Linked DNA regions of Lepisosteus oculatus. The protein of the gene in region 2 purifies or fractionates together with the protein of the main gene of each other region. This does not show direct contact. Links are inferred from orthologs where the notes say so. Each region holds a gene or a part of one and is shown on either strand. Other genes may lie near its edges. The genes, in order: ewsr1a, protein arginine N-methyltransferase 8 and hnrnpua.

The links.
Region 1: the proteins of protein arginine N-methyltransferase 8 (region 2) and ewsr1a purify together in Homo sapiens (affinity purification with mass spectrometry; 3 studies listed by BioGRID and IntAct, counting the BioPlex papers as one, with this or other methods). This does not show direct contact. The link is inferred for Lepisosteus oculatus from reciprocal best matches to the Homo sapiens genes PRMT8 and EWSR1.
Region 3: the proteins of protein arginine N-methyltransferase 8 (region 2) and hnrnpua purify together in Homo sapiens (affinity purification with mass spectrometry; 3 studies listed by BioGRID and IntAct, counting the BioPlex papers as one, with this or other methods). This does not show direct contact. The link is inferred for Lepisosteus oculatus from reciprocal best matches to the Homo sapiens genes PRMT8 and HNRNPU.

The regions. Positions count from the first base shown.
Region 1 is NC_090717.1:13,479,211-13,487,233, reverse strand, and holds the start of ewsr1a (RNA-binding protein EWS), read left to right. Parts: upstream 1-4,937; 5' UTR 4,938-4,971; coding exon 4,972-4,987; intron 4,988-8,023. Other genes in the region: rhbdd3 (rhomboid domain-containing protein 3), read right to left, coding at 965-1,225, 1,599-1,722, 2,143-2,532, 2,904-3,066. UniProt on the Homo sapiens protein: Binds to ssRNA containing the consensus sequence 5'-AGGUAA-3'. Might normally function as a transcriptional repressor. EWS-fusion-proteins (EFPS) may play a role in the tumorigenic process.
Region 2 is NC_090702.1:12,133,357-12,141,144, reverse strand, and holds the start of protein arginine N-methyltransferase 8, read left to right. Parts: upstream 1-4,769; 5' UTR 4,770-4,983; coding exon of another isoform or gene 4,984-5,046; 5' UTR 5,047-5,784; coding exon 5,785-5,853; exon of another isoform or gene 5,854-5,857; intron 5,858-7,788. UniProt on the Homo sapiens protein: S-adenosyl-L-methionine-dependent and membrane-associated arginine methyltransferase that can both catalyze the formation of omega-N monomethylarginine (MMA) and asymmetrical dimethylarginine (aDMA) in proteins such as NIFK, myelin basic protein, histone H4, H2A and H2A/H2B dimer.
Region 3 is NC_090697.1:23,072,023-23,079,090, forward strand, and holds the start of hnrnpua (heterogeneous nuclear ribonucleoprotein U), read right to left. Parts: upstream 3,047-7,068; 5' UTR 2,874-3,046; coding exon 2,330-2,873; intron 1,177-2,329; coding exon 1,062-1,176; intron 1-1,061. Other genes in the region: efcab2 (dynein regulatory complex protein 8), read left to right, coding at 5,327-5,351, 6,055-6,139. UniProt on the Homo sapiens protein: DNA- and RNA-binding protein involved in several cellular processes such as nuclear chromatin organization, telomere-length regulation, transcription, mRNA alternative splicing and stability, Xist-mediated transcriptional silencing and mitotic cell progression.

The DNA.
Region 1 (8,023 bases), on a different chromosome or scaffold from region 2:
ACATACAGACTCCACGCAGACAGCACCCCAGAAACTGACCCCAGGGCCCCAGCACTGCGAGGCAGCAATGCTAAAGACTGCACCACCATGCCTCCCTCACAAACATGTCTTTTAAGAAAGTATTTAGGTATAACACACGGCTTGTTTCCGAGACAACAGACAAGAAAACCATGCATTTAGCAAAATGTCATTTTTACGGTCGGACTCAAAGGAAAAACACAAACATGTCCACATACCAACACCAAGAGAATATCTCCATTAGGCCCTATATCAAAGAGAACGCATCTAAATCCCCAATGGAAGCACAAAGCCTCCAAATATGACTCAGATATAACATTTTTTCACAGAATGCTAATTCCAAAACATGAGTCACAAAACCTTAAGGCTCACAGTATCTTCTGGTTTCTATTCCTTTTCCTTCGAGTTTTTAAATGCTACACTGACCTACTTAGAACTTTCTCACTCTTGACCATTAACTTAGCTGCCACCTAAAGCACTGCACTTCACAACCATAGCAGTGGTACTCCACTGTTCTTGAAAACCCAAGACATATGTTAATTCCACCTGCATGAATATGACATGACCTGTGACAGACAGGACTGCAGTCTCTAAATATTCCTGTGTTTGACCTGTTTCATGCACACTGACAACCCTGGACGTAGGGTATTTTTTTGTGCAAACTAGCATGTTCAAGTTCAGACTTCTTTCCACACAACCTCATCTGTTTTGGTTTCAGTTCTTTTACATACGTGACCTTATTTAATTTGATTGGTGAATTACCGAGTCAACCTCTTTCAATAAAAACGACCACTACACACTTCAAACCAGTACTCTGGGGTTGAGGATTACCTATGCAGATTAGACCAGAATGTAAAAAACTGGGGTAGTTTCCTTTAGCATTAGCCCTGCGTGTCAGAAGGGCACTGACCTCTGCGTTCCCAGAACACAGGTTTCGGTGACTCACCGCAGAGATGACACTGAAGATTTGGGCAGCTCCAGTTTCTCGACGGATCCCTCAGGAGCGTCCTGCAGAGAGGCCAGGATCCCTGCTCTCAGCAGCTGCTCTTCCAAGAGCTGGACCTCGGAGACAGCCGGCACCTCTCCTGCTGCCCAGTCAGGTTCCTGGGATTTCCAGGGCTCAGGCCGCATGTCATACTCCTCCCACTGGGACCTCTGCAAGGGCTCCAGCTGCCTGGCAGAGGACGGCTCTGCCCACGGATCAGGTCTGTAACACATGCGTCACGACACAATTGGAATAAGGGCTGGATTCCATGACACAACCCAACCCTTACTGTCTCCCCAGGTCAAAGAAACCCAGGGAGAAGGAAGAATGAAGTAACGTCAGTATTCAACCTGATTATCTGAGCTCTCTACGGTCTAATGTATTAAACGTAGAGTGGAGCACCGGCTGTGAATCTAAGTTATTAGTATTTTATGAGAAGATCCATCTTCTTTGGGTGCACAGATGTCTCAGATTCACCTTGTCATGCTCAGCAGCGTCCAACCTCAAAATGACCGACCAGCTCCCAAGAGGAGATGCAGACACATGCAGGGTTCCTTACAGAGTGTTTCGCACCCTGGGCTTCAGTCGTTCCTACCTTTGACCCGTGCAGCTCACGGGAAGACTGTCTCTATAAGAGGAAAGCACAAAGGCCCTGCGTGGGAGAAGACGACAGAGATGGTCTTCTCCTTTCTGCAGCCACTTGAGAAAGGCCGAGCTATCTGAGAGTCCACAGTGAAGGAAATCAAGTATCACAGACTTTCATTTGTTAATGATTTTTCCTCACAGGTTACAGGGTTTTGGGCCAGCCAGTCAGATTCAGTTCTGTGGTACAAAGTGTCAGCCAGTAGGGAGCAACCGACTGGTATAACAGTCTGCCGTCCCGCTGCTTGCTGGGATCGGCTCCGGCTCCCCTGTGGCCCTGGACTGGATAAAGAGCTTGGAAAATGGACAGATGGGTGACATCCGGGATCTGTAACATCCGCAGTGAAAAAGAGTCTTAAGCAAAGATCACGGCTCTTTAAAATCTGGAGAACAGCAATAATGGTGCAAAATAAGCACTGTGGAAATAAAGTCTTAAAGAAGGGCCGTGTACAAGCCTGCTCCACGAGGGGCAGAGCAGCAGATTCCCACAAGGATACAACTGAATCCCACGCAGACCGCGCACAGGTGGAGCAGGGCGAGGGAGGCCGGCACCAGCAAGCAGCTGCCGGCCAGGAGAGCCCAGGGCAGGGCCCAGGCCGGGAGCCAGCGACGGGCTCGTCCCTGCTGGCCCAGGCGGCACTGGGCAGCCAGCATGGCGAAGTGGACCGGCGAGTAGCCGCCCACCCGCCCCGCCCCGCCGGCCCCCAGCCGCGCCAGGACACAGTACAGCAGGGCCGGCAGGCAGCAGGAGAGCAGGGACAGGGCCAGGAAGCACGCGCTGCCCCAGCGCCGCTCCTGCGCCGGCCCCAGCGCCAGCAGGGCGGCGCTGCTGAGGAGCAGGGCCGCAGGGTCCTGGTGGCAGAAGGCGTAGGTCCACAGGCGGTGAACTCCAAGACAAAGCAACGGACAAAGGGAGTTAACGCCAGGTCCCGCTGGCAGGGTAGACTGTGGGATAACTCTTCCAAGATCATTAAGAAAACGTATATTGTTTCCTACACTTGCTGTGTGTTATCAAAACCCATCTATTGCTACATGCAGTTACATCTAAAAACCTAAAACAACCCTTCCGTTATTTGTTTAGATTTATATAGAAATGTATGCTGTAATGATAGATCTAGTATTTTATATATTAATTCTATATTTAATTTCCTCAGCAGCTGCTAGGCAGGAGACACCCTCGTGTTCCTGTGAAAGAGAACGGTGCAGGTGCGCCTGTACCTACCGCCTGCTGCACGAATGCACCCCTGGGCGGACTCACCTTGCAATCCAGGTAACACTTTTTCCGAGTCGAGGTACAGAGTGTCGTACGCTCCGCTGAGCCAAGTAACCAGTACGGCACCGAGCAACCCGGCGGTGCCGGCTGGAAACCCGGACCGGTTCGACCCAAGCCGAGACCAGAACGAGGGGAACCGGCTAAGCATCGCAAGTCATCTGTCCGCCCATTCTGTCAAGCGCCAGGTGCCTCTTCCCCCGCCTTACTTTCAGTATGAAATCAACACCTGAAGGCTTTCACCGGCTAAGAGTCCCCTCACCACCAATTTCGTCGAAACTGAAACAGTCGAGTTCAATAAATGGTTCGTGCAATACCGTGTCTGCGATATTCAGGACTCTCTCTGAAGGTTTAGTGAACCACCGCATTGTCAACCCATAATTTACAAATAAAACCCTATTTCATTTCAGCCACGACGAAGCATATTAGGAAAAAGTACTAAACTTCCCCGAACCGCACATCCTAGAGTTAGGGACCATCACAAAACTGAACACTAGACCTGACGAGCTTGTTATCCGATGAACACAAGTAAAAGTCAAGAGTAGTTCAGGAGGGTAGCTGCGCCAGCACGCGTAGGTTGCAATTGAACAAGTAATAGGTTTATTCCATGCTGAATAGAGAAGAAAGAAAACACACAACGTTTCGGCCGTGGAGCCTTCTTCAGGTGTGAGAACGACAGGGCAGTAGGCAGAGGTAATGTAGCAGGAGAACAAGAGCTGGGAGAGAGGAGGGGACAGACAGCTCAGTTGCAGGGGAAAGTGCCTGGTGTGGATGGGTGCTGAGGGCAGTCAAGGGAGCTGTGAACAAGAAGGTTGCGCAGATTAGGTGGTCAGCGATACGAGATGATGGGTGGTCAGAAAAGAGGGCCCCAATGGAGGGATCATCCTGTAGGCTGGAAAAGTTGTTGCTAATGGTCTTGGGGATAGACAGTGTCGGGGCGGTAGGGAAGCACAAAGGTATGCGGTTGTTACGGCGGGGGTTCCTGATTGAGCTGATGGTCTGAGGGGTGTTTTTGGCTCGGGCGAGGGCCCCGTCAATCACACTGCTGGGATATCCTCTGCTGATGAAAAAGGAGCACATTTTGAGGGCTTGGTTCTGGAAGTCGGTGTCGTCGCTGCATAATCATCGTAGCCGAAGGAACTGTGAAAAGGGAAGAGAGTTTTTAGTGTGTTTGGGGTGAAATGAGCTGTACAGGAGATAGCCGTGTGAATCTGTGGGTTTGTAATAAACCGAAGTGGAGAGTCGGGGGTAGTTGACGGAGAAGTTGATGTCTAGAAACGAAAGAGTAGAGGAAGATATGTTAACTGTATATTTGAGGGACGGGTGGAAGTTGGTGAAATGATGCAGGAAGAACTCAAGCTGATCGTTGGAGCATGTGGCAGCACCGACGCAGTCATCAATGTATCGCTTGCAGAGGTCAGGGACATAGCCAGTGTAGGAAGCGAAGAGACAATCTTCTACCCAGCCGACAAAAATATTGGCATAGCGGGGTCCCATTCTGGTGCCCATGGGAACTCCACTCACCTGTTGGTAAAAAAGGTTATTGAATGAGAATTCTGTGTGAGAACCAATTCTGCAAGGCGTACCAGTCAAAAATATATGACTAACCTTGTCCTCCATCTACAAGATGTGCACAAAGAGCACCGTGAGTCTCAGATTAAAATAATTACTCGCAGGGCAGGATTGCTCTGTGTTGAATTGTCACCTGTTTGTGTTTCATCGTATTGAATTTTTCTTCTCATTGAAAAATTTTGAGACGGTCCCTAGCATGCTTTTTACGTCATGTGGGGGGGGGGGGGTGACCAACTAGAATGTACCATTTTCGAAGTGAGTTCGAGTTCCCTAAAACCCAGCGTATGGAAAAAAAATCACTGACCATAAATAAATAATTTACCCACAAGAACTAAATCGCGTTATTACGTGAATGGATCCTAAACTTTCCAAATGGATCGGATTTTTTTGCTTCTTCTCCTCCTCCTACGACGGTGAGAGTTGGTAGAGGCTTAAGCCCCTCTTCGCGCATGCGCGCCAGGAACACTCACAGAGGACACACGAAATGGCGTCAGCAGCTGGTGAGGGCGGCGGGGAAGCCGTTTCGATTTATTACTCGGTTTTATATATATATTTTGGTGAAAATGGCAAACAGATCTGACCGCTGTTACTAGATGGCACGCACTGCAGCATGCTCCCCGTCCCCTTGTGGCGGTGTTTAGGCTGTGAAAGCGAGATAATTGCAGTATTGGGGGATGGGGTGGACGTACATCCCCATTTAGTTGGAATACTTTTGAATTTCAGGGTTCTGCGCCGGTTGCATCGGCCTCTGCAGAAACGCCTTTTCCTCGGTGCCATAAGACGGGATCGTTTTTTTTTCCCCCTCATATTTTGTCCGTGAAGGGGCTGGATTTGCAGCGTACGGAAGGACAACTGTTGCCTTGTGGCCGGTGTTCAAAACTAATCAATTAAACCAAGCGCATCTCTTCCGTCGGGCGGCGTAACCCCCCCCCCCCCAAAAAAAAGAGTGCGTTTTATTTGTTAAAATGTATTTTTGCCTCCGTATTTTCGTGCGCGGTGTGCACGGTCGCTTGATCGCGTCCGGAGACAGCGGTGCTCGCCGGTGCGAGGTGAAGCGGACGGGGTGGCCGCGGTCGCGGCCTTCTGAGAGTGGAGACACCCTGGCCGCGACGGAGGAGGGGACCTCCCGCTACCCTGACGGAGAGCGGGCAAGCCGAAATGAGGCGTGCATATCTGGCGGTTGTACAGCGGCAGGGCGGGCGGTCCAGCGTTACAAGCGCTTGAATGGCGTGTTTGGGGGGATCTAGCTGAGCTGTTCGTGGGGGCGCCTCGTTCTTCACACCTTCGCGAGTCCGAGGGCCAGATGTGGTTGTTGTTGTTGTTTACTCCCTTACCCCCACCCCCAAAAACAAAACTCGCCATAATCGGAGTGCACGCAGCCCCCTGGGCGTGTGTGGGGTGTTCCGGCCTGCCGGATCGCGGGTGTTTTCCCGAGCGGCTCCTGCGCCATGCGGGGCTGTCAGACGCCGCCGGCTTGTTGTAAAAACGCTGCTATGGCGACCTCCTCCTCTTCCTCCTCCTCCTCCTCCGCGCTGCAGCGCCAGCTGCATGCCCAGGCCCTGCCGGGGTCACACGGCTGCCCACACTCCTGTTGGGGCGCAGCTGTAGGTGTTGTTGTGGGGATGGCCTTCGCTCAAACCCCCCAGGTGCTTGGTAAACGCTTATTATTATTATTATTATTATTAATATCGCGATGGACCCCCTTTTTTTTGCAGTGGAGAAGTGCGTCAGATATCAAACTTCTTTTTTAAAAAAAGAAAAAATTGCATTTTGAGCAAGGTATCCGAGCTGTATCGACGCGACTCCGCGACTTGGGTTTGTTTGTTTTTTAGCGTGACGGTGTTCCCTCAGCCCGCTGTGCGTGGTGAGGTGATGGGGAATGCGAAGGACAAAACTGCACGCAGTTATTTTGTCTGAGAAAGGCTTGGTTTTGAACCTGTGATATTCGGGCTTCTACTGCTGTTAAGGCCTTAATGTATCTTATTTTTAATTTTCCTAAATTGTAGCTAGTGATATCCTGCTGCATTTGTGTTCAGCTGCTGCATACCTGAGTTGTCCTTGTACCTGTGTGCACTTTCACGCCATCTTCGATCTGTACTATACCCTCTATACCTTAAAGTATAATTCCTCCTTTCACAGGCTTGGGATGCTTAGTGCTGTGTTGCCTTCAAGTGTCTGTGGGCTGTGTGTGAACTTTGTCCCCTGTTGTCCAACTGGAAGACTAGCCCTGTGTTATTTTACTGGACGTTGCACTCTGGGATCCCTATCTCTCCACAGAGCTGAAGTGATCATTGAGGCTGTTGTTTCAGTGTTTACAAAGGATGTGCTGTTTCATGGTTTTGATAGTTGTTTGTTCTTGCCCAACAATGTCTGTAGCTTCTAGCTAATCCTGTGGCCATTGTTTGTAAGCTCACAATGCTCCTAGCTTTCCTATTCAAACATGCCATAACTGCTACATGAGTGAATACAGTCGTTTGTATATGTGAAATACCCTTGGAATTTGACTATAACTAAACATGATGAGATTATTTTAAAAAGTCTGCAGAACTTAATGCTAGTGATGTTTAAGCCTTGCTTTTCCCTTCAGTTTTTTTGTCTTTACAGTGCTTGACACTGTTAGGCATTTGCATCTTGGTTAGAGTTGTATTAATTTGGTCTTCAAATTCCAATACAGACAGCAGACTCTTTTGTAATTCTCCTGTCTTTCTAGGTTTTCTTGCAGAATATACAAGTGTTTTAAATTACATATGTCTAATCCCAAATATGTGTTTTTGTAAAGGCTTTATATTGGATTCTAAATGTGCTTTATTTAGAATTCATGATATTATCTAAAACTATTCCACAAACATGCAGTGACTGGTAGTTTAACGTGTATATGGCTGTTGCCACAACTGTAATGTACTGTGTACATTGCTTTCTATGCTCTGAAACCTGAGCAGGTAATTTTCTCAAATGCCCTGTTTGAAAAACAGTTGTAGTCCAGTTTATGTAAACTCATTATGGCCCACAACTGTGTAATGCTATTGACAGGCTTTACCTGAGGGTCTTCCATTCCTAGTTCTGCAGAGGTCCAGCACAAGAGGTTTTGTAGTTTTCTCCTAAATTATGTTTGTAAAACTGTAGAATATTGTAATTGTGATAAGATTTTTAGCAGACTTTTATAGCACAATTATAAATAAGTTAGGCATCAAGAGCCAAAGATCCTTGAATTAAGATTTGCCCAGTAATTGTTCCCAGTTTTTAGACGTAGGCCCAGGTGATTCAGGATGACCTGTGTTTAATTGACCTGATAAATCATGTAGTGTATTTTGAAGCTACAACATTTCATCTATCAGAACAGTCTACATATCTTCATTGTAGCCAAGAGTTGAAGACTCCGCAAATATAGAGCCAAATGATAATATGCTGTCTTTAAGACTATACAGGAAAGTGCATTTTAAGGTTCCAGGATTAAAGTGTTCCTACCATTTCATTATTAGAGAATAGAGCCGACAGCTTTAGCATTAATTTCCATCACCTTTTAGTCATCAAAGTGT
Region 2 (7,788 bases):
AGGCTGTTTATCTTCAGCTTTTAAAGAGCCCCACATTCCACTTCTCTTAAAACGACTACCCTTACTCCTCGGCCTTCAGACCTACAGTATTTTTTAGTCTGCCTTCTTCCCTTTCTCTCCAACACCCTCAAGCAGGTGCTTCACTGCCGCCACTCCATTTTCTTCTTCTTTCTGCACTTGGCAATGAACTCCCTCCATTCTGACTTTCACTCCTCACAATCAATTAAATTCTCTGGTACTGATTCTCACTGATTCATTTCCTACTCTCTCCCTCTCCTCAGTCTTAATCCTGCTTAGTCTTTCTACCACTATTGACACTGTGGCTGCTCAATGACCTGTCAACACTTCCTGACATATATATTTCAGGAACTGCTCAAATAAGATTCTCCTCCCACTAAATATCAGATCTTCTGGAAAGACTTGCTTTGTCCTCTTTGCTCTGTCCATTGGTCTCCCAAAGCTGTGCCCAGGGACCCATTCAGTTCTCTCTCAACACCTCTCTCACCAATTTCCACAGATTCTGAAATTATTTTTGCGTTGATGATGCTCAGATATTCCACTCTTTTCTTCACTATTATGGTCATAGCTGCTACTTACACATATCTTCTTGTCACACAGGTGTCGTCACCTCGGTGGATTCCCATCATCTTAAACCCAGGTCCTTAAGGTCTTATGTCCTTTTCTTCCTTTTCTCTTCTTCTTCCAAACTGGACCTCTCCATCATATTTCCTCTTGACTCTCAAACTTCCTCCACCTCACCCCTTTCCTCTCCTCATCTGCTAAGAATCTTCAGAGTCTTATTGCCCTCCACATTCTCCTATTTCATACACATTTTATCACACTCCTGTTTCTTTAACAGCACAATCAGCAGAATCTTCCTCTTATGTACTAGCTTTTCAACACAGCTTCTAGCCAGGCTCTGGCTCATACCAGTCTAGACTACTGCAGCTTTCTTCGATCTTTCCTGTCTACTAACACTATCCATGCACTCCTACTCATTCAGAATTCTACTCTCTTTTCTCAAAGTTGCTTTGTTTATGCTGCACCCTTACTGCAGTTCCTCCACTGGTTCCCTATTACCACACACACCCAGGGCAAAACTCAAGTTCTCGCCTACCACTGTTTCATCCTCCCCACTCCTGACTTTCTTTAGTCTCATATTTCTCCCTGCGTCCACTCCTGTTCCCTATGCTCCCCCTTTGTGAAAGCCAAATTTTCTGTGTATCCGTTCTCCCACTTCAAGAGCCCATTCATTTTCCACTCTTGCCCCTGATTGGAGTGACAGCATATACAGTACTACCTGTCACGCCCTCTGCAGCCAGAGGGTGCTCCTTCTCTGTCCTGTCTCTCTTTTCCGGTTCTTTGCTGTCCTTCCGGTGTTTCTCTCTCTTTGGGGCTATATATTTCCGGGTCTTTCATTCTGCCTTCGCTCAGCATTGACGTTCGGATATCCTGAAACCCGCCTAGCACCAGTTCGCTCCATGTCTGCTACATGAGGGCATAGGTTTCTATATGGCATTCTCTGAACAGTTGAGCCTGGGCTAACCCCCAACTCGCCGCTTCGCATAGGGTCTTTTACGCTCTCCTGGCATTCCACGGTTCGTCCCTTTCTGACATCCGTGACACTACCTTCTGAAATCACAACTGCTCAGTCCCTGACCTCCTTTCTCTCCTTGCCCAAATCTCATTTGGTTAGATAGAGATAAATCTGATATTACCTGCTATATTAGATAATACCTGTCACCTCTCATTTCTTAACTATATATCCTTCGGTATATTTTACTCAGTAAAACTTGCCAGTATGACATGCCTGGGAAACTTGTTCGATGATACCAAAATCATTTGCATTAAAAATGCCACCTAGCCTTTTGTTTTGCATCCCCTAATTTTTGTTTGACTTTTGATTCTGAAGTCCTTTGGGTTCACAATGGCTTTGAAGATTTTGAGGATACATGAATTGGGTCTACCCTTTAGACCGTCACGAAAGATGGATTAGAAAATAATGTGCAATAGGTACAGTAGTAGTCATTTGGTAGCCACTTTTCAACAGTCAATTAACTATTGAGTTTGCACAGTTACTGTACATCTATAATAATCAATATCCTCAACAACACAGCATAGTTAAGATGGAATGAATGTTATAATTTCAGTTTCTTGATTCCTTCATATTATAGAAAAAAATACAGGAATTTCCCTTGGTTCATTATCTCTGAACGTAAAAAAAAAATGGCAAGTTGTTATTTTAATTTCCACCCAGAATTGGAGTTTTGTTTTAAATCTCAGGGGTGACAAACTTTCCGATTCTAAATCGGCAATAAACATTTAAAACACAAAATATGTGCAGTGTCTAAAGGAAGTATTTAGGCAATTCAGCTATTTTTTTATCTGTTCTACTAAAATTGAATTTAAAAAGAAAAAAACACTTTGGTTTAGTATTTGTGAAAGGAACTAGAGAATCGTGGTTTAACCCGTTTTAGATTAAGATCTACAGTAAAACGGCTTGGCTGTAGCTAGCGTTGGAAAACATCAAGGATTCGCTTCAAGACGTCATACTGTATACAGTATCTGCAGTGAGGGTAGGTTTGTAAAGTTCGATATTCGCTGGATGTAATTTCTTAGAAGTGCAAGGTGCCGTATATCCAAAACCAAGCTAAAACTGAAGTTTTAAATTTACTCCAAGAGTACGCTGGGTGTATTATTTTTCTCTCTGCGTCTCAGAATTCTATTTCACACATTAAATAAGGTTAGTTTTTGAACGATTTCCAGATTATAAACCATTATACTATGACATTCTCTTCCCAAGATACACGATACGCAGAAGCGTTACTATAATATAGAAAACTCTGCTACATATTCTACATTAACTTGAAGCTATGCTACATAAGCATGAAAACATTCCGATTTGTGTTTCTTAACCTACTCGTATTGATGGTGATGCTAGTTCTCTCACCCCCAGGGAAGGGGTGGGAGTTGAACGGTACAGCAAGAGGGCTTAGTGTGTGGGTTAGATTAAGTCACTCTAACTGGAGAATTTCGGCGCACGGAGATTTTGCCCTCGGAGTGGTGTTATGCAATCCTGACCGTGGGAAGATGCAGTGGTGGGTGTTGTCTGAAAATAAACACAACTTCTAATCTTAAAATTGTGAAGAAGCACACATTGGTATGCTTAAGCATTAAAATCCACCAGGCAGTTGTGAGATGCATTAATTTAATTGTTTTACTATCAAAAGGAAATTTGTGTATTTTAAAAGATACTGTATCTCCACAGAGATATGCATTTGGGTAACCTTCAGCGTTGATAGTTTTTCAGATTAGCCTTGCAAAAGCTGGTGTCTGTATGACTTGTTTTTTCCTCAACTGCCTGCTACATGACATACAATTTCGTATAGATTTTTTTGAGAACTATAAAACGCAAAAAATAAAAACGCTTATAGGTTTGTTTCGTCTCGACAACTGAAATAATTGACTTCTACAGTATGTTCTTCTGATGTCTATTTTTGCAAGAAAAGCACGTGTTCATAAAATAATATTTAGCATGCCACCTGTAAAAACATGCTAAATCGAATTCTTAACAATCACATGAAACACAATAAAAATCCTAATAATCCAACTATACATCGAGTTTCATCCAAGTGAAGGCAGCGGGGAAACCGGAGCCTATCTCGGAAACCAACAGGGGCAGGGCGGTATCTCGGAAACCAACAGGGGCAGGGCGGTATATACCCTGGGCTGGACGCTAGTCCATCGCCGGGCACACACACAGACGCGCGTTCACACCAGGGCCAATTTTCCCAATTTGTCCAATTTGCCCAAGGTCTTTCCTTGCGCGAGCCATGCTAATCTTCTCTGTATCGTTCCAAATTAGTATACTGTATTAGTATACTGTATGTGCTGCCTATGTCTTTGGACTATTGAAGGAAACTGGAGCCCGCAGACAAAACACACACGAACACAGGGAATACATGCGAACTCCCCACAGATAGCACCCCAGATCCAGAGTTGATCCCAGGACACCAGCGCTGCAAAACAGCTATACTAACCAATGCGCCACCCTGCCGACCAACCATAATAATGCCTACTTTGATTGTTCATATAATTTGCTACATTAAAATATATTTTAGGTTTTCATTGCTAGAGCTACAGTATAAAAGCAAAGCGTTTCTGGACTTTTCATGAAAATGAAGGCTAATTAACGCGTTTTTAGCAAAGAAGTCCCTTGTTAAAGTGAAAATGAGAACTAGACAACATGTTATTTTTAACTGTTCCTTATTTTCACATACTCAAGCTGTTCGGTGATATGAGACAGGGGAAATGATGTTACTTAAAATGATCATCATAGATGAAACTGTAATACTATTTTGTTCAGCTGTACTGTATACGACTATGAATGTACTGTATGAATATTTTAATCAACATTCAGACCTACATATCTAATCTCTGAAGCAAATGTTGCTTTGGCAATAATCTTATTTCGTAATACACCGCATGGATATTTCAGAATATTCAGTATTGTACGCCATTGACCTGTGTCATACTTCGGAGAATAAAATGCGGCGTTAAGTAGAAAACAACATTAAGTAGAAAACAACATGTTTTGCCATTACCACGTATTAATTCCTTTATGTGAAATGAGAGTTTTGTGTAGGAACGCTAAGGGAAAAGGGCGAAAAATGCACGGAACATACAGTACAATAGAAACGCACCCAGCAGGTTGCTGCGTACCCGAAGGGCACGGCTTCCTTTATTTGTCAGAAGGGGCTCGATCTGTCAGAGCTTAAGATCCACTGGTAACGCGTAGAGATGAGGAAGGCTGGGAATTCTATTGGCTCATATAACTCTACAAAAATGAGTTCGACTTCTATATTCAACAATGCAAAGATCTGCTGGGAAGGTGGAACAACAGCAGGAATGTGGGAGGCAGCAATTAAAGAGAGGCATTCCTAAACGGCAAGGGCGACAGAAGGATTATTTGACCATGACTATATGCTTGACTTCGCAAGTTTCAATCCTGACTCAGAGGGAAGTTCGGCTTTCGATACCAAGCAGGTGCCTAAAGAGTCGAAATCAATAAGAAAAACGGCAAATAAAAGATCACGAAGAGCTTGGCTCACTGCGATGGCAGAAACGAGTCACTCGTACAGAACTAGGCTACATCAAAGGGATCATTGAAGGAGATTATATTTACTAGTTCACACTTGCAATATCTGCAAGGTTTAACATCATCAACAGACTTTTAAAAAGCAACAGATGTATTGCGATTTTATAAATGGGACAGAGATGACTAAAATCTGACCTAGTAAAAGACAATCGTTTTGCAGTGAGAAAATTGCATAAAAGTAAGAATTTATGCATAACCTCAATGAGTTTTCACGAAGAGCCTGTTTTAGACAAATTGGAAGATGTTACGAGATATTAATTGCTCTTGTTTATTTTAAAGACACTTTAATTTGTGTGCATACTGTAGTGAATGAGGAAAAGGGAGTGTTTTTGACCCTGTCTAAAATCACTGTCAAGTGATGCGAGTTATCCCAAATCCACACACAGGGAACAACACCGTTGACAACTTTGCACTATGGATTCAAAGATCTTTTTGACTTGGAAAAGAGGTTTCTCTTGTTCGGGGACTTAAGTTTATTTTTGCTATTTATTTCTTTTACTACTGAACAATTTCTCACTAGATTGTTTCAAAGCTCATATATAAGTCAAAATAGTCAAAAAGCTAAAACAATAAAAATCAACCTGATTTTTTTACCCTCATCGAGTTAAAAAATCACTTTGGCTCTTATGGGAATGAAACACTCCTCCCGCTGCCTGCTCCTAAGGAGAAAAATGGCGGAGACCGAGAATCCAGAGGTAGGTAAGAGAAAAGCTTCGTCAAAATACTTCAGAAAATCTGACAAAACAGTGGTATGTTCTGCTATTATGCTTTATTCTTAAATAGGCTAGAGGACTGGAAAACAAATAACACAAAACCCGCTAAATTCCGTAAACAATTATCTTATGTCTATTCAATGTCAGTTGTTGCGGTCATCTGTATAATTTAACAGTTAAAGGTAGGATGGAAAAGACTGCATTATGTTTATGGCATGAGAAATGACATACACATTTATCATGCTCCTGTTCTGAGACAAAATTAGAAACCGTGGTGATTAAAAATTCATCAGCCATTCCAGACTGTAACGGATCATCGTGATTCTATGTAGCAAATGCAGTGGATAGACCTTAGGCGAAACCTTGACCTAGGTAACAGACCTGTGTCCTATATTCTTCCCTTTACGACTATGGGGAAGGCGTTTTTGTTAAAATCATATTAAGATGCAGATTAAATAATAATATTAATTATGTTAAATTACACACGACGTACTAGTTGTGAGGGTGAGCTGTCCTTGGTGCTTCAAAAAGCTGCAGTTTTCTAAATCTCTGAAAACCAACGTTACACCCGGCTATTTTACTAAATAAAAAGGCTAAATAAGGCCTTCTGATTTACACGTCGCGTAGAAGGAGGAAATCATTATCATACAGTGCCTAGTTTCACCTGGAGCAGCTACCTTACTTTTTGTATTGTAAATCTGAGGAGTTGTGGGTTATCAGATCTGACTTGACTCAGTTGACTGTACATTTGAAGCACTGAGGCAGTTATTTTTAGCAATCCGTCAATAATATGATTAATGATATTCATTCTGAAGCAGTTGAAATAGATCTGTACTCTAAATGAAAGCCTTGCTCTTAAAAACCTTTCCCTTGCTCTGTACAAACTATTAGGATTTGTACATCCATGTTTGACCCAAGAAACTATTAAGAATAGCTCTAAGCACACAATAAAAAACAAAGAAAAATTAAAAGTACTTATTTTTGGAATATTCATATTATTTTGCAAAGGAACAAGTAATAGGTTTATTCCATGCTGAAAAGAGACGAGAGAAAACACAACGTTTCGGCTGTGAAGCCTTCTTCATATTATTTTGGCTGTTAACATTGGAAGTATTGCTTTCGACTTGTCAATAACAATATTTCACAATTTTCCGATAATCGCTTAAATGCTTCCATTGGTAAAAAAAACTACCATTAAAAATGTTCAAAGCTCTTCTTTAATCAGTACTCATAAAAAGAGCAGGATAAGTGTGTTTATATTTCCTAGCCGAAACATAATGAGAAGTGTGAAGCTTATCAACAACTATTCCAGTTGTTTCAGTCCCTTACTGTTCCCCCAAATCTTCAAAGTGAAATCATTTTCATTAGCATAGGGTTTGTGAAAAAAAAATGGATGAATATTAATTTAGGAATACATGAATGGAAACAAGTAATGAGCATCCTCCAAATCAACCTAAAGTGACAGTGGTGCCTTTTGAGTCTCAACAGTGATACACTAATCAGAGATCATAAGTGCACAGTATTTGGAAGGGAACTTGACTTGCAAGTTCAGGAGGCAATTCTGATGTGGCACAAGGGATGTGGGAGTATGGAACAAGCTATGTAGTGATATTGTCAAAGCTGATACCCTGGCTTCTTTTAAGAAACTGGTGAACGAAGTCTTCAGATTAATTAGCTACTAACTAATTAGTAGCTGAAAGACCCAGATACCTCCTCTCATTTACAATCCTTCTTATGTTCTAATACATGGAAAGATTGTGTGCAAAATTTCCCTTTGTTGGCAACATAATTGTGTTATAAAAATGACAGAAGATACTCACTGAAAAACGTGTCCCCCAGTTATAGAGCATGACTCTAGTCATAAATATAACATTATATTATTTAAATATTCTTTTTTTGGGTAATATAAGTGGATGC
Region 3 (7,068 bases), on a different chromosome or scaffold from region 2:
AATGTATTTTAAAGCTCCAATAGCCCCATTGTGAGACAGGTAAACATTCTAAAACACTACAAAATTCTGATGTGCATGCTTCTCAAATCAGGCATTGCATAAATGAGAATATAAATGAGTATAAAAATACTCAACATGGCCTGCTTTTCATGCCACAGTTAAAATCTCTTGTGATCTGAAATTAAAATTAACCCCAATTTTAAAGAAACAGACACATTTATCAAATGGGATAGAAATACAAAATGAATTACCCTACCTTTGAATTACTGACCCCTACATTAAGACAGTTAAATGAAGATGATGTTTTAAGACGTAGGCTTCCACATCGCAAAGAACACGAAGGATTAAAACGAAGACAGCCACATAATTAAATACATGTTTAAGAAAAGCTGATTGTTAGTTCCGCACTTTCACAAACATACGTCCATCAAAGAAAAGCAAAAACGTTCTGGTTAAGCAACCTAATCTGAACCAAAGACGACAAAATCGACATCTCGAGTTTAAAAAAAACTTCTCAGATTTGTAAACGATCGAAACGTCTCATCCCCATTCCTCTTTAAAGCGACAAATTCAATTTCTAACGATGCGCAGGAATTTGACGGTGACGCTGAAACTATAATGAACTGCGTTCTCGAAAGGGGTTGCATGTCAAAACTCAAGGTCCGTCAGAAATGCCTAGATGAAAAGCATGGATAAACGCGCCATTTTAGTCGCCTGCATCCTCAAGAACAGATCGATATTCTTAAAGCAAAAAATAAACCCTTCGCTCCCCACTACTTAATCTGCAGATGACTCAATGTAAGTGAAACTGTTTAGATAAGACTATTACCCCCCAAATACACTAACCGAAGACCCAAAGGGCAGACGTCCTTCTAGCAGAAACCCTACATTATGCGAGCTGAGCCCCCGCCCCCACCCCCACCCTGCCCAGCTGCTCTGGTCTCCTCGGCTTTTCTTTGTTACCCCTTTTACAGAGGAGACCCAGGGGCATCCGTGAATCCGTGAGCCATTCACTTACGCGGTGGCACTTCAGATTTAGCGAAGGCCACCATGGTCCTTACCGGCTGTATTTGCTTTCTTCGATAAATTCAAAGTAGCCCCTTCCATGTTCTTCACGGCGTCTCTTTACACCCTTCTTATTCTTCTGTTCACCTTTCTTGTCTTTATCAGCGTCTCCTTTGAAAAATAAAACACAACATGAAGAGGGATACCTCAGCGTTTGAGCCGAATTGTTACATGGCGGCCACAAACTGCTGCATGTTTTTGTTAAGACTACAGCGCGTTTGGTCTTTTTTTGTGACAGAGAAGACCAAAATTGTAAAGACATTTTTTTCCAAGCTTTATGAACATTCCTCCTCCCCCCCACACCATCGTTGCTCTCCATGCCGGTCAATGTACACGGCATTTACTACAAACAACGCATTTCAAGTTTACTTTCTCCCAGGAAATATTTGCAAATTGAGACCTTTCTCGCCGTTAAAAGCTCCAGCCTGGTTTTCCCAATAAATAGACCCGATTCCCAGTTCAGACTGCGTCTGAAATACGTGGGCAATAAGCGCTGTACACGTTGATAAAATCGGATTTTAACCTTCCCTATCATTTTTCAAAACCGCTACTGCCCACTAACCGTTCAAAGGCACAGATTTAAAAATAAAAAAAATCAGTCCGGCGGGAATATGACGCCTCAAACCAGTCTAAATCTCTCAAACAAATCGTCCAAAACAAACAAAAAAAAAGCCTCCGAAAACTTACAGCCGACAAAACAAAAACGAAAGTACAGTAAAGTCCTGCCACTACAGGAAGGCACGGAACGGAAGGACTAGGCCCGACACGGCTTGAGCAATGTCAGACTGAAGCGCACACGACAGGCAACCGCGGGGAAGAGAGCTGGAGGAACATCCGAGACGTCGCGGGGGGACACAGCTAAAGCCGAGACAGATACACATCCGCAGGCCCGGCCCGTCGCCCACAGAACAATGGAGGCGAGGCGAGTCGCCGCCGCCGCCGCCGCCTCCGACCAGGGCCACCATTTCATCTCGCCTGGCAGCACCATGTGGATCTTTGTCTGGAAAGCGCCGACAAAACCACAAATAGCACCCCGCGTCATTCGCGTCTGACCTCCAAAACGCGTTTGCAGAAAAAGAAGAGAAAAAAAACGAACGCCCAAACTGCGCCTTCGTGTCCGAAGACAAGGCCCCTATCGAAGCACGTCTAACAATTGTTTGGCCCGTATTGTTAAGTAACAGCCATCAATTGCGCCTTCTGCTCCGACCGGCAGGGCTGGCGTAAACACGTGATGTTTCGGGTCTTAGTTAAGATGGGGACTAACCTTCAGCGGGCTGCGATCCTGGTGCCCCATCTTCCTCTTCGAATTTGTCCATTTCTATCCCGGCATCTTCATCATCCTCGGATTTATCCATTTCGACTCCCGCGTCTTCCTCCTCTTCCTCCCCCATCTCATCATCCTGCCCGCCGACATCTGCGCCACCGCCCGGAGCAGCAGGAGCAGCAGCAGCTGTGGCGGCGGCGGCGGCGGCGGCAGTGGTTTCGGCTTCGGCTTCAGCTTCGACTTCTGCTGCGTCCGCTTCGCCCCCGTCTTCCTCCTCCTCGGCCTCCATGCTCTCGCCGGCCAGATCGTCCTCCAGCTCGTCGCCCATCTCATCGAAGCCGCCCGCCCCATCCGATCCCCCCTCGGCCCCGTTCTCCTCGCCTCCGGGCCCGGTGAAAGCGCCACCGGCTTTGGCCTCCTCGTCGAGTGCGGCCTGCAGCCGGTCCATCAGCTCGGCCTTCAGCCCCTTGTCAGAGAGCCGGCGCTTTTTCAGCTCGTCCTTCAATTCGTTTACCTTTAGCTTCTTTACGTTGATTGCACTCATTTTTCCCGTTGGATTTCCGCTCGAAGCTCGGGGATATACAAATATTTTTTTTTTTAAAAGAAAGCCCTGTAGACAAAGTGATACAGAGAAAGCAAAGCCGCCTAGAATTTCTACTGCGCCAAACAACGCTCGTCCCTCTCTGTGCGTCTCTCCCACTGGCAGCTGCGCGGCTATCTAGCGCCAGTTGTACGTAATACACTCTTACCGTATTCATGCGAAAGGAGGGAGAAATTGGGCGGTGACTACCGTAATTAGCCGACAACTGCGACGACAGTTTCATTTGGTACAGTGTTATGCCTGCATATTTTTAGCTTTTGTTAGAAATGTATTAAAAGTTAAGAAACAAATCTGTTGTGCTTAGTAAAACAGCAAACCGGAGTTTATTAGCGTTTTAATTCTGAGGCTTTTCTAATATCAGTGCATGGTCCAGTAAGAATGCACGATCGTGTGCAAAGTGATCCAAGATAAAAAGCCGAAAGTATTTTAAATTCTACATTTTTTTTTTTTGCAGAGCAGAGATATTAGGAAAGTGCGATTGTTCCTTGATGTTTCTGTGAAGCACAACATATTCTAAGCGAATTTCACCAAGGGCCACATGTATTTCGCAATGTACAGAAAAGAAAGAAATAGTGCAATGTTGTAGCTATGCAATGTACAATAACAAATAAAAAAAAAACACGAGAAGACCATTTGCGCGTGTTATTCTGCATAATGCAGCGTAATAGTTTTGGGGGAACAAGCAGTGCTCCCCAATCCTCCGCTTGTCTGCATTTTAGTGGTCCATATATACTTCATCAGATGAGGCAAAGAAACGTTGTCAAATTATGTTGACAGATAACAACTTGCTTACAAGAAGATGATATTTTCTATTATTTTCACTCACATACATAACATGGTGGTTAGCAGTACTGCTTCGTTACTCCAAGGTTCTGAGTTGAATTCCATTTGGGAGCATCTGTCTGTGTGGAGTTTGCATGGTTCCTCCGTGTGCACTTGGAGTTTTGCAGAGTGTTCTTGTTTCCTCCCACCTTCCACCATTCAGGTTGGGTTTCTTTGGCTGCACTGAATTATCTCTGTACAGGGACTGAGCTCAAGGGGATTTCATACTTGAGAGGTTTGTTCTTAGTATTGCCAATGGGCTTTTAGAGAAACACAGACAACCAAACACTTCATCCACTTCAGGGTTGTGTGGGGGGGCTGGAGCCCATCCTGACAAGCAACAGGGAAAGGTAGGGTACACCCTGGACTGGACAGAAGTCAATTATAGGATGAATCATAGATACAAACAAACACACACTTACAACAACAGAGTCCATTCTCCCTGAAGCCAATTAACCTCCCAGTATGTCTTTGGACTGTGGGATGAAACTGGAGAACTTAAAGGAAACTCATTTGAACACAGGGAGAACATACAAACTCCACACAGATAGCACCCAAGGAACTGAACCAATGGCCCCAGCACCACCTCAACACACCATACAACTGTTTCACTTCAAACATTGAATAATGGAATACTACCATGAACATTTTCATATGAAGGTGTACAGACATTATACAGTATTTGCTAACATATCCAAATCCCTTCAAAGTCAACTAAAATAAGTTTAGTTACTGAAGTGAAAAACGTCTTGAGTAGAACAGAAAAGTATATGATTTACACAATGTGTGGGTCAGTGTTGCACATTTCATTAAACTAGAATGCAAATTTATCAGAAACTTTAATGTTTGTGTAGTTTCTGTTTGATGCATTCAAAGAGACAAACCAATACTGGTAACTGGAAACTGGTAAATTGTCACAACAGACAAGTGTTTATGTGACATTTCAAGTATAAATAAGTATCAGAAAATCAATACATTGCCACACAAGGCAGCTTAAAATATGAATTAAAAAGTATTTGTGAATTTTGTCCTACAGTTGTCATTCAATGGGGAAATATTCCATATTCTAACAACATTAGCCCAAATGTACATCAAAAACTATTTAACTGAATTTATGAATGTATCTTAAAATATCAATTGCTAACATATTTAAATAAGGTGATTATTTTATTTACATAGTTCAATTAATTTGTCCTCATAAATTTGAACAGCAGACATATTTTCTTTCGAAGAAATATACTGTTTAGAATTAATTTCCTTTACTAAAACGTCGTGTTGGAAATTATAAATACCTTCGTTGGTATCATTGTTTAAATTTCTCAATTTTTGAAGAAATCAGTCGTGCACCATATTTACATTCGTATTGATACATTATTTTAACTTTCAGTAGAACGTATTTAGATACATATCCTGGAAAACTTTTTTTATTGTTATTGCAGATGCCAATGTACCGTACAGTTTACTAATTGCATAGAGCATGTTTTAAGGATCCAAAAGTAAAGTTGCTACAACTGAAGTCTTGAGGGGAGTTGGGATAGCATTAGGTCTCCTAGCAACTGGAAGAGCAGTGAAACATGGCGGAAGACAAGGATACCGCAGGTATTGTAGCACCACTACCGATCTTTAGTTTTTTGTTATAAAATACTTTCAAGCATGTAGCATGTTTGACCTTCTCCGAAAAATACATTTTTGATTAATTTTATAAATGTACAAATAAGTGTCTGCGAAAGACATGATAACGTAGGTCATGCAGATTCACATAAACGTTACCTGCAAACTTCACTAAGTAAAATCTTGTTTAGTAGTGTACTTAGTTTTACTGAGCAAACCGTTCTGAGTACTGTACCTATTTTTACTGATCAGACGATTGTTTTGACAGGCACATTAGAAGGAACGTAAAAACGATTATGTTTTATTGTCTACCCCACACTCAACTTTCAAACTGTTGAGGGTCTATCAGTAGAAAGCAGTAGCAATAATTAGTCACATGTACAGTGTTGTTAATTTAATAGAAAGTTCGATTAGGTTCTATTTCGCGATGAAATGAGATGAACAACCAGCCATATGATTAAACCATATGATTACAGACGTAAATCTTACGATTCCTTCAGTCGTTTTGCTTTTTGACTACTGTAGTCTGCATTGTTTAAACAAAAGTAGTTTATTATTTAAAATGACTCCTCTTCACATAACTGTAGTCATTTTGGTATGTATTATTGGACTTTGAAGGTTTTGTACTGCAGGTAGAACTGAGACTACTTCAAATTAAAGCTTGTTGGCACATTTTATTTTTGCCTTTTAGACGCAATACTTGCTGCTGTTCAGAAAAAGATCAGCGGCGCTTTTGACGTGTTTGACCACGAGTCCAACAAGACGGTGGATGTGAGGTTTGGGCAACAGATAAACGATGCATTTCGCGAATTGCTTTTCTAATTTTTCAATGGAAAGAACCCATAGATCTCAGAGCGGCAAAGGCAGATACAACATAGGTTTTATCTTTAAACGTCATGTTTACGTTTAGTTAAACGTGATGAATATTTGTTATAAAACAAAGTATTTTGTAATGACAAATGGGTATCGCCACACCAAGCTTTTTCCAAAGCAGGGGGTTACATAGCTTCAGCCTTTCTGGGAAGTTTGCTCTAACATAAATCTAGTCTGTTTTATTAAATAATGTTATGAAACAGTCAGCCTGCTCGTGGGAATAGAACAGGCTTTAAACCACATACATCTTTTGCTGTTAGTTAACATTTTTGGTGCATATAAAATTTCATTAACAAGCAAATGATTTGAGCTTTTTTTTACATAAAGCTTTCACATACAGTATGCACATTTGTAAGAGGTGGGGGACATACCGTATCTATGATGGAAATGTCACAAAGCACGGGAGCGTTTTAGGTGCAGTATTCAACGCTCAATCGATTTTAACTAGACGTTAATAAATCGGTATCAACGTACTGTAGTACTGTACCTCACTTGTTACTCACCTGCGCTTTTCAACCAATGGGTGATTTAACACCGGCAAGGGTGTGACCGCTATCACGATAACGAAAAACATTTTTTGAATTTATATAGAATTTATATAGTATAAGGATACGTTTTCAGTATCGTTATCACTTGTAATTATACACATTGTGACATTTTGTTTGATGTCATTTTAAATGAAATATGTTGGTGTTCATTTTATAAGAATAATTGAACAGGTACAGTATACTTCATTGCATTGGTGTATGATACATTTTAATCAGAATGCAGGTAGTAAAATCGCAATGTATCCTGTTTTTTGTAGGAAACATAATTCAGAGATTTGTAATAT